3 linked regions of the Danio rerio genome follow. The protein of the gene in region 2 purifies or fractionates together with the protein of the main gene of each other region. This does not show direct contact. Links are inferred from orthologs where the notes say so. Each region holds a gene or a part of one and is shown on either strand. Other genes may lie near its edges. The genes, in order: sntb2, adra1d and sntb1.

Region 1 (3,660 bases), on a different chromosome or scaffold from region 2:
AAACTCACTTAATTTTGACATATTTCTTACAACAAGACAAAAAAAAAGAAATTTTAGACATTTGGACTAAAATCAACACAAAAGAAATCTAAAGAAAGGCACTTTTTGCATTGTAGTCAACTATAAACTGGATCTCCTAACTGTGGATTTTAGGGTGATATGCATCAGAACTGCACGCGTGTTATAAAATCTTCATCGGGTAAAGATTGGATGTTGTCTGTTCATACCATCTCTCCTTCTGGAGCGCCGAAGTCTAGGAAGAGATTTCGGACTCCGTCGTCGGCAGACATCTTGAGCCGCTCGTAGGGGAAGTGGAAGAGCACAGAATCGCCAGACTCGCGCGTCACTGTGAATCCTCGCTCGTAGTGCAGGATCAGACGCACATTCTGCCTGTTCAACACACAGCCTGAGAGAGAGCGGGTCAAAATTATTAGCCTCCTTAAGTGATATTTATTTAATTGTCTACTAAACAAACCATCGTTATACAATGACATACATACATATATATATATATATATATATATATATATATATATATATATATATATATATATATATATATATATATATAAATATATATATATATATAAATATATATATATATATACATACATATATATATATACATACATATATATATATATATATATATATATATATATATATATATATATATATATATAAAAATATATAAAAATATATATATATATATATATATATATATATATATATATATATATATATATATATATATATATATATATATATATATATAATATAATTGCCTATTTAACCTAACTTTACCCTAATTTACCTAGTTAAGCCTTTAAATGTCACTTTAAGCTGAATACTAGTGTCTTGAAGACTATCAAGGCAAATGTTATGTGCTTTCATCATGGCAAAGATAAAAGAAATCAGTTATTAGAAATGGGTTATTAAATCTATTATTTTCAGAAATGTGCTGAAAGAAATCTTCTTACCGTTCAGCAGAAACTGGGAAAAAAAATGTATACACTGGTCTAATTACAAACAACACACACACACCTATGGAAACCTCTTTGATGAGCTCTGCAGCTGAATGTCCGCCCTGCACCAGCGCTCGTGTCCATGTGGACAGATCCCAGTGCGTCTCCACACGGAACACATGAGACTCGATCCCTCGCCCGGTGCCGGTGCGCGTGGCGAACAGCAGATCTCCACCCAGAGCTGGAGAACTGCGCACACTGCCCGAGTGAACTAGCCTACACACACACACACACACACAACAGGGTATATAGAGGAATCAGACAGTGAAATTGAATACTTTTTAAAAGATGAGCTATTATGCAAATATCACTTTTACAAAGGGTTTAAACACAGTTGTGTATCAGCAGTGTATGAATATGAGCAGCTTCTAATGGTAAAAATGTATTAATTCTATTTATTAGAGTTACACTTCATAAAAACAGTCTGCAGAAACACTTTGATTGACATTCTCTCTTTGTATGTGTCATCAGAGGGGGAAAGCCCCTCCCACTAGTGACCATCTCTCCCTCATTAGCATAAAACGTTAGTCTTGTTTTTGAATCTGCCACTATGCTGACACATAGGCATCTGTAGCTCCTCCCTCTTTTAGAAAAAGAGCACAATCTCATTTGAATTTAAAGCAACAGTCACCAAAATGGATCAATGGGTGAGGGGGGCGAGTGCTTAAAAGCTCCCGTTTCCTTGTGCAAAACAACCGTGCCTGGAAACACAACTAGTGTGATTGTCTCTCTTTGAAATAGATTGGAAAAAAAGCGGTGCTCGTGCACCCACAGTCCTGCTGCTTTCAAGAGATGTCCAGATTTTTTGTAAGCAGCAGCGGTTGCCGCTTTCGCTTTAACCATACCTTGAACAGATTATTATTGGGCCTAACGCTAACTGTGTGCACGTGATCATCTTTTTACTCTTGCACACAGAATGTTTTCCACCTGCTTTCTTTTGCTTGCAGTTATTTTGGTAAATTAATTATCATCCTTTACAATAACATTGCTTTAATAGAAGATAACTCTCCTTTTATCTATAGTTACCGGGTGATCTGGGACGTTTAGCCCGGACAAATTACTGTGTATAGTTTTAGATAAATGAGAATATTTTTAATTGTTTTTTATTGAATAAAAGGTGTATGTATATCATTTTATTCGGCTTGTTTTGACACCTCATTTAAAATTTGTGGCACAAAGCTAAATAGTTTGGTGTGGCCAGAGAAAAGATTCTACATTAACAAGGAGGCATGCGGACATAACACAAAATGAATAAATTACTCATTTTTAGCATGCTAAAGTCAAATTTAATCATATAAAATGTATTTTCCCAACAACAAAATTGTGGCAACGTTGGAAAACTGCTAGCTACAGTGGCTGGTGATCAAAAAAGTTAATGTCAAGCCCTGCCCATGATATATGCTGAGAGAAAAGGGTTGAGTTTATTGCTATATCAGCAAAAACCTGATAAAATATACAAACATTTTATCAATATCACTTTTCTATAGCAGGTTTACAACAATACAAAGACATCACGCGCAATAAATAGTAGCTAAACATCTAAAACAGCTTTTTAAGGCTTACTTTTGATCAAAATTCTACCATTTTTGTGGGAAATATTTATTTTAAAGGGCACCTATTATGCAAAAATCACTTTAATAAGGGGTTTAAACACAGTTGTGTGTGAGACTGAGTGAATATAGCCAGCCACTTATGGTCAAAATTGATTAATTCCTTTGCTTATAATCAGACATGATGAAAACAGTCTGCAGAAACACTTTGATTGACATTCTCCCTTTGTATGATGTCATCAGAGGGAGAAAGCCCCGCCCACTAGCACCTGCAGCCGCATTTTTGTGCATTTATTTTGGTATTGAGAGGAAAAAGTAGACCATTTTTTATATGTAAATGAGCTCTCAGCAGAGTGAAGTAAACAGTGAAGAAGGGAAGGTAAACTGTTGAATGTTACCGTGTGGCGAGGAGCGGATGTGTTAATACAGGAGTCGTCCAGCTCTCATACGTCCATGGTACAGCCTGGAAGAGCAGGATATCTTTCTCTGTAAGTGCCATGATGACTCTTTTGTACTGATGCCGGCTGCCGTCCATATCGAGCTGCACGCAAACACATTCATGATCCACACAGCTAACACAAGATTTTTCTCAAATTATGCTGTTTATTACATTTTCCAAATTTATGCGCATCTTGGCGTCTCATCAAGCACTTTTATAGCAATAATCCAAAATGCACATGAAAAGAGGCGGAAGGAAACAGAGCTATTGAGTGCCCTATAAAGGGATAAAGTGCTGACTTGTATGGACGTACCTGCTCCACCAGCCAGCCGATGTGTTTGAGAGTGCAGTGAGTGTTGGCGTTGTTCAGGAAGGTGTTGATGTAGCTCAGGGTCTGTGGTAAAAGAGCCGCCACGTTGGTGTGAATGGCAGTGAACCAGGAGTGAGCAGTGGCTCCGTCTTTACAGCGCAGCACCACCGTGTGCTGACCGTCCGGAGAGTGAAGCTCCAACAACCTGCATCACAAAAACATGCAGCACCATAATACATGCATCTACACATTAATAATTAACTCCACATAAGAATATGTTTTTATATATTTATTTCACTATTACCAAATACTGTTAATATATTGAAATGATTAGAG
Region 2 (4,161 bases):
ATAAAGAACTTCTTGTTAAGAGCGTACACATTTAAAATAATGTTCTTTATTATTTATTATGTGCATTTTAATCATCCCTATTAATGTTTTCTGTATTCATAATAAATCATAACTGAGCATATAATATTATATTATATTATATTATATTATATTATATTATATTATATTATATTATATTATATTATATTATATGCATACTGTATATCCTTTAGAGTCTTAGAGTTTTAACTGTATAACTATCTGAACTGGTGTTTGTTATGCAAAGGCTATTATCACATACTGAATAGTATTTGGCTGATTTTGCAGCTGTTCCTACACTCTATGATGCCTCATTATATAGGCTATTTGCACCCCACGGAGCATAATGTTCTTCGAAAACAGTGATACATACACAGAGCACATTATAGTCTACACTCAAAAACAATTAGGAGTAAAAGGTGGAGCTGCTCTCAAATCTTGCTCAAAACTCCATTCATGTCATATACGCACACATTCAGTTTAAATCATTTTACAACCATATCATTTCATCATAAAAACAAAGAATGTTAGCCTAACAGAAAAGTGATACTGCTTTGTTTGTCGAGAAAAGCCCTAGTCATGACATTCAGCCTAACATTTTCATGATAATCCGAATGCTCTCCTGCTTTGTTTCGGACATTTCAATTCAATTCAATTCAATTCAATTCAGCTTTATTTGTATAGCGCTTTTACAATGTAGATTGTGTCAAAGCAGCTTCACATAAATGGTCATAGTAATTTCACGTTTATGTTGCTGTTTTCATTACTTATTAACACATAAATAAGATGTTTTTATTTAACATTTACTGTAAAATGTACTCTCAATGAATATTTAAAAAACAAATTTACTTTAGACAAAAGGAGAAAATTTGAATAAATATCTTTTCCCCCCCAAAATTTAATTTCAAAGTTTTCTAAAACAGACAAAGATATAGTTATAATCAACAAACATAATTTGCCACAAATTAAATCTCATATGAAACATACCTATAAATAAGATATCTCTTATGGAGCATAGCCTACATTTCTTAGCAGTATCAAATGTCTCTGCTAGAATATCATGAATCCAACAGCTTTGTAATTTATTTTCAACGTCATGTGGTAATCAAAAAATATGTTTGCCTTTTTTTATTCAGCAAAATTCGCATATTGTTGTTAATCATTATTTGAAGAGTTCAGCTGCAAAAACCTTGCTGTCTGAAACTTTCTACTAAAATGAACCATTGTCTGAGGCTCCTGTGTTCATAAATTCACATTTAAGGCTTTGAATAAATTATTTCGTTCCCTCTAAAGTGAAATATGCACGAACATACACATAAACTGAACATAAACATAGGAGGCTGAGAAAAATGCTCATTTTAGAAGAAATTTCAGACGGAGTTTTTGCATCGGAACTCTTTATGAACTTTTTAAAACTATTATAATATTTTTTAAATGATTTTTGACTTTTTAAATATCACTTTGTCAGAGTTATTTCTGTTGTGTTTGCGTTTTGAGAATGCAGGAAGCGCAATGAACTTTAATTTAGTTTGAATTTACTTACAACAGAGCTATTTATGCTCGTTTCACAACAAACACAGAACAGTCAAACTTTTACGTACCTAAAGGCAAAACGAAGAAAAACGGTAGCCAACAAAGAATGAACATCCCCACGACAATGGCGAGGGTTTTAGCAGCTTTCTTCTCCCTGGAGAACTTCATGAGTCTCACGGACAGTGAACTTCTGAACGGGTGATTTTTGGTTTTCGAACTCGTGCTCGAGTCCTCCGGCATGCTCCTGCAGTGTATCCTCAGCACCACTTCCATTGATTTATCTCTCTCCCGTTTCACGCCCGCTTCCAAACTTTTTGTAGTCCTGCGGGCCACGATGTATACTCTAATGTACATGACTAAAATCACCATGAGCGGGAGGTAGAAGGAGAATAAGGAGGAGAACAGAGCATAACCCGGTTCCTCCGTGATTCTGCAGATGCTCTCATCTGAAGGTGGAGGTTCCTTCCATCCCAAAAGCGGTCCGATTGAAATGACCATCGAAGAAACCCACACTAGCACAAGTATGACACCCGCTTTCCGTTCGGTCATGATAGTGGGGTATTTCAGGCAGTGTTTTACCCCGATGTACCTGTCTATAGATATAACGCACAAACTTAAAATAGACGCCGTGCAGCAGAGCACATCCACCGCTGCCCAGATGTTGCAAAAGACCCGACCGAACACCCAGCATCCCAGCACCTCCAGAGACGCGGAGAACGGCAGCACGATGATGCTCAGCAGAAGGTCCGCTATGGCCAAGTTCACAATGAAGAAGTTAGTAACCGTCTGCAGATGCTTGTTGCACAGCACCGAGAGAATAACCAAAATGTTCCCAACGATGGCCACCGAGATAAAAATGGCCAGAAAGATTCCCACGCCGATGACTTGAGAGTCGAGGGTGATGCCCTCACAGGTGGTGTTGCTGATGTTGGAGAGAAAGTCCGAGGGGAATTCATCCTTGCTCTCGTTCAGCAGTTTAGAAAATGTCATTTTTCAAACTCCATAAAGACGACTTTTACTGTTTCGGTTCGATGGTGTTGTCTGGTCTGTTCGTTGTGTGTTTCATCATCATCATCTTCTTCATCGTCACTCTGAGAAGGTGTCTTCAGATTCAGGTTCTTCAAAATGATCCAAGATATAGCCTATTTATAAGATGCTGTCTCTTGAACATCTAATCACACTTACAATTTTATCCATTACCTGAAAGATAACTGAAAGCATTTTTACACCTGTTTCTGAGGTAGAATGATCTAATAAGCTTTACATAACCACAGTGGCGGTGCACTGCATGTCACATGGAGAGGCTACTTCTTGTGGCATCCTCAGCAAACACTCCAAACTGCATCACAGAGGCTCAACGTGGACCCCAGTGCTCCAGGTCTCCTCCTCCAGCTCTGAGAACTTAGTGACGCGTCGCACACTTCCTGCACTTCTTCATACCACCACTAGAGGGTTCTGTGATATAATTATACATAAGGGACTGCTTTCATTTTAGAGTATCTGTGGGCTAATGCCATTTTATTTAGCACGTCTTCTAAGGTAAACAATCATGTAATATCAGTGATTTATGCATAACAGTTTTTAAAAATATAATTTTAATAAATAAAAGTGCCATAGAAATTAATGAATAAACTTACAATAATAGGCTAATCTATGTAAGACTTAGTTAAGTCATTTGCAAGAATGCTGTTTCATTGAGTTTAGTGACTGTGACCAGTGAATGTTAGATAGGCAGTGGTCAATTAAGTGTTTCTTCATGTTCTCTTTAGTTATAATATTACAAACAGCTCTCTAATTGTATATACCGTTTGTATAACATAAAAAATCTTTACTTAATTAGCAGCATTAACCTACAAGAAAAAAATACAACAACTGAAAATAGGACAACTTTTAGAGAAGGTTGAATGGTTTCATGGAAAGGGCAATGGAAAATCAACAACAACCACGTTTGCACAGTATGAATAAAACTAGGCCACAAAAACAAAACAATAAAAATAAAAAATAACTAACTGTAACCCAAAGTGTTTAGTAAATATTCAGGTCTGCTCAAATCATATTCACTCGACCAATAGCGCGAGCTTGTGGGCGTGGCTTTGCAGCATGAATCCAAATTGTTTTTAGCTAAGTGGGATAGCCTGATGGCTAACACGTGGAAACTTGAGAATTTAGAGTTGTTTTTCAGAAGTGCAGGGTTAATACAGAGACAAACAACATTGTAAAACAAAACTGGACACGTGTAGTGCATTTTAAACAGGAATTTGATGGAACATTTGCGTTTCAATCAAGACCCTGAACTTGGGGAGTTCCTCTGGACAGGTAAGCTAAACTCAAGTGCTTGTAGCACAAGTGAACTCTTAACTGTCAACCCCTATCAAAGGCTATCGTAAGGATATGAAGTATTATAAGAAAGAGTGTGATGACTGAAGGTTAAACTAAGAGGTTTGTTCGCAAATATGCTTTAATTTTTCAAATGCACCAAGTGGCATTAATATTTAGTATAAAGTACATGCATCAAATACATACTCTCTCTCTCTCTCTCTCTCTCTATATATATAATTTAAGAAAAAGTTAATTATTACAAATCACAGCGATATGTGTATACCCCTTAGA
Region 3 (3,660 bases), on a different chromosome or scaffold from region 2:
ACAAATCTGTTTTGACCTGTGGATTCTGGTCAACTTTAATCCCAACTCAACACAGCATATCTTGCGATTTGACTATTGTAGACGCACACATTGTGATATCAATGCTCAAATGATATATTGTGCAGCCTTGATGGAAATTACAAAAAAAAAAATAAAGAAAAAGAAATTCTGTATATTATATATTCCTTAAAAAATAGATGGTTCAACTCAAGTGGTTATCCCAATCAATACATTAAAATGATATAGCATGTATGCATTTGATATTTACATTTTCCAAGATACTTAAAAAATACCATGGTTATACTAGAATAAATTGCAGAAAGCATATTATTCATATGCTATGTTTTCTAAAACATAATAATTCATTAATAATTATTTCTGTGATGTCAGTATTATGTCTAATAAGACAACAAAAGGGTTAAGGAATATAAGTGCTCAATATTATACATTATGTAAACTTATATTGTGCAGTTTTGTCATTCATTCATTCATTCATTCATTCATTCATTCATTCATTTTCCTTCAGCTTAGTCCCTTTATTTATCAGGGTTCGTCAGAATGGAATGGCTAACTTATCCAGTATATGTTTTACACAGCAGATGCCCTTCCAGCTGCAAACTAGTACTGGGAAACACTCAAACACACTTGCATTCACACACGTATGATGAACATTCACTGTTCTCTAGTCTACGGCAAGTAGATTGCAGGTTTGCACAGGAAATTTGCCACTTCTATTAAAAAAAGATGCAGTTCAAGTTAGTGTTGATTTTTCTGTCTCTACAGATTTGGTAAGTGTGTGATCAATGTTCTTTGTTTATGTTTATTCAGATAGCAAAGTAAGTTAGTATCGTCAGCAGTACTCTTTTAGTTTTAAAGACATACCTTAGTCAAAATGATTTAGGCACTATGTTTACAGTAATATCACAACAATATTATAAATTAAAAATCCTCCACTTCCACACAGCTCTCAGATCTTCTGTAAACACTGTTCTCCGAATCACTGTCTATCTCCCCTGCGTCTGTGTTTGTGTTGCCGGTGTAAAAATCAGCTGCTGTGCATGTAATGAAACTCCCTTTTTCATGCAAACCCTTCCCTCTTTTGCCACTCGACACTCCCACCAAAACAAAGATGGACACCCACTTTCCTTTTTTCAAATTAAAGGTGTAAAAACACCCTGCTGGTAAAAAGGGGGGGTTGGTGTTCATGGCCCTTTAACAAAGCATTAAAAATCGTCCTAAAGGACAAAAATAAATATTAAAACAACTTCTGAAACCACTAAAAAAAGTGGACAGGCACTGTGGCGTTCTATATCCCAGCGTGGGATTTTCTCCAATGAGCTTTCACCATTGGCACAGCTGCCCGACTTGACAGAAACTTGAGATTTCACAGAGCAAGTCGAGCCAAAATAAGTTTAGAAAAGTTCTGAGAAACAACAAAAAAAGCCTAGCTACGCTTTCTGCCAGTTTAGGGTCAACAAAACATTAACACATGCCAGCAGAGGCTGTGATAACTGCCCTATCAGCTTTGGAGTGAGATTCGGGCTGTAGTCCAGCTAAAATTGGACCTCAAATCTTACTCTTGTAGTAATAGCTGCTGCTCGGACGGGCATTTAAAATGCAATTTTACTGTTTCTTTCCAACTGGCTGAGGAAGATTGCAGTTGTGCGTTTCAGTTCCCGATTGGTCATCTCTGCCAGCTGGCATGCAAATGTGTATTTGCATGCGCTTGTACAGAGGCATGTGTTCAACAGAAGTGTGTGCTGTGATTGTTTTTGTATGAATGAGCAGTACGTCTGTGTGTGTGTATGTGTGTGTGTGTGTACCGTGTGGCGAGCAGAGGGTAGGTGTGTGTCGGGGTGAGCCAGTGTTCTCTCATGCGTGGCATACTGTCAAACAGCAGCAGATCTTTCTCCGTCAGCATCACGAGCACCGGCTTCCAGCTCTGCCTTTCACTTTCCGTCTGAAACACAAAGACACAAAACCTCAATTAGATACCGTGTAATTACATTTGATCATATTTCTCCTTGTTATTTGATCCTATTTTTCCATTCTCATTTTTAGACACTAAAGGAACAGTTCACCCAAAAAAATTAGTTTCAGACCTTTGAGATTATTTTACTTTATATTTTATATTGGAAAATGGTACCTGTTGACATCCATGATAGGAAAATGAAAACTCTATGGAAGTCAATGTCTACTTGATCATAACTTTAAACAAAAAAAACTATTTTTTACTACTATAAAAAAACATAAATTTGGAACAAGCTAAGGATTATGAGTAAGTTATGACAGTTTTCTTTTTGGGAGTCCTTTCATTTTACATATTTTGTTAATCTGAGAGATATGTAAATAAGCGCAGGTCAAGCAGTAAACCTCTGGGCTGTTTCTCTTTTAGGAAAACTTCATGTAACTAGTCGGAAAGTCAAAGCCAGAGTATAAAAACTATTGAGCCTCTTAAACTGTAACTGATTCATCAGCAAAATGAGCACTGATGTAACATGCTGAAAGCCATTTGCAACTTTTAGATGACCTCAAAGAAACAATGTTACAACATGTTTAAAGCGGTCATGTACTGACTATATAAAATCCCCTTGATCTGCTGACATAAGAGGTCATTGTTCTCTAAAAAACATCCTGTACTTTACCGAACTCAATACTTACTAATCTAAACAGTCCAATTTTATCATGTAATAGTGTGACACTCAATATATATTCAGACAGACACAAAAACATAACAAATGCCATATGTTGTTGTTGTTTTTATTGCAAAGATAGCCTAGATCAGTGGTCACTAACAGGCAGATCAAGGTCCATGTCCAGACCCAGAAGCATCCAATACAGGTGCAGACATACAGCAGGTCTGTTACTTCAGTCCCACTCCTGCTGGGTGTTCTTTCGCACCGATCCCTTCTGCTATTCACACTGTTTACCCACTGTTCCTGCTGAATAAGAAAGAAGAGCCGAACGCTCTCTCTATGCTTAAGTTTCGTTTACTACGATGGTGTCAAGTGAAACAGAGCTCTCTAGAATCATAATAAAGTCATATAGAAGTAAAATATATCATAAATATCATAAAGAAAAATGCACTGTTGCCTTGGTAATACAAGCATAATGTAAACAGAAGTAATCAATACTTTAAAAGTGCTCAATTATTAAGATGTGTAGACATAAATATGTAAAATATGTTATGTGTTGACATAAATATGTAAAATGTAAAATAGAAAAAGTGGAAATTTAAGCCTATTTTCTTAAACAAATTATTAGAACATACATTTTTCAAAATGCCCTACTTTTACTTAATTAACATGAGAATATGCAAATCTACAGTCATATGTGTGGGGCTGTTGCATTGTGAGGTATTTGACACCCAATAAATATGTTTATTGTTCTTTGAATTGTTCTGTAGGCATTTTTTTTTTCTAAGCATAGCACAAACAGTGCCATACCAAAACCTTGACTCTAAAACCATGATACATACTGTACCGTGAGTAAATTGAACTGTTGCACCCAATATATATATATATATATATATATATATATATATATATATATATATATATATATATATATATATATATATATATATATATATATATATATATATATATATATATATATATATATATATATATAATTTTATAATATGTATATATAATTTTT

The links.
Region 1: the proteins of adra1d (region 2) and sntb2 purify together in Homo sapiens (tandem affinity purification; 4 studies listed by BioGRID and IntAct, with this or other methods). This does not show direct contact. The link is inferred for Danio rerio from reciprocal best matches to the Homo sapiens genes ADRA1D and SNTB2.
Region 3: the proteins of adra1d (region 2) and sntb1 purify together in Homo sapiens (tandem affinity purification; 4 studies listed by BioGRID and IntAct, with this or other methods). This does not show direct contact. The link is inferred for Danio rerio from reciprocal best matches to the Homo sapiens genes ADRA1D and SNTB1.

The regions. Positions count from the first base shown.
Region 1 is NC_133200.1:37,503,952-37,507,611, reverse strand, and holds part of sntb2 (beta-2-syntrophin), read right to left. Parts: intron 3,530-3,660; coding exon 3,328-3,529; intron 3,117-3,327; coding exon 2,974-3,116; intron 1,242-2,973; coding exon 1,045-1,241; intron 407-1,044; coding exon 228-406; intron 1-227. UniProt on the Homo sapiens protein: Adapter protein that binds to and probably organizes the subcellular localization of a variety of membrane proteins. May link various receptors to the actin cytoskeleton and the dystrophin glycoprotein complex.
Region 2 is NC_133176.1:45,233,418-45,237,578, forward strand, and holds the start of adra1d (alpha-1D adrenergic receptor), read right to left. Parts: upstream 2,893-4,161; 5' UTR 2,542-2,892; coding exon 1,620-2,541; intron 1-1,619. UniProt on the Homo sapiens protein: This alpha-adrenergic receptor mediates its effect through the influx of extracellular calcium.
Region 3 is NC_133191.1:15,526,399-15,530,058, forward strand, and holds part of sntb1 (beta-1-syntrophin), read right to left. Parts: intron 1,961-3,660; coding exon 1,824-1,960; intron 1-1,823. UniProt on the Homo sapiens protein: Adapter protein that binds to and probably organizes the subcellular localization of a variety of membrane proteins. May link various receptors to the actin cytoskeleton and the dystrophin glycoprotein complex.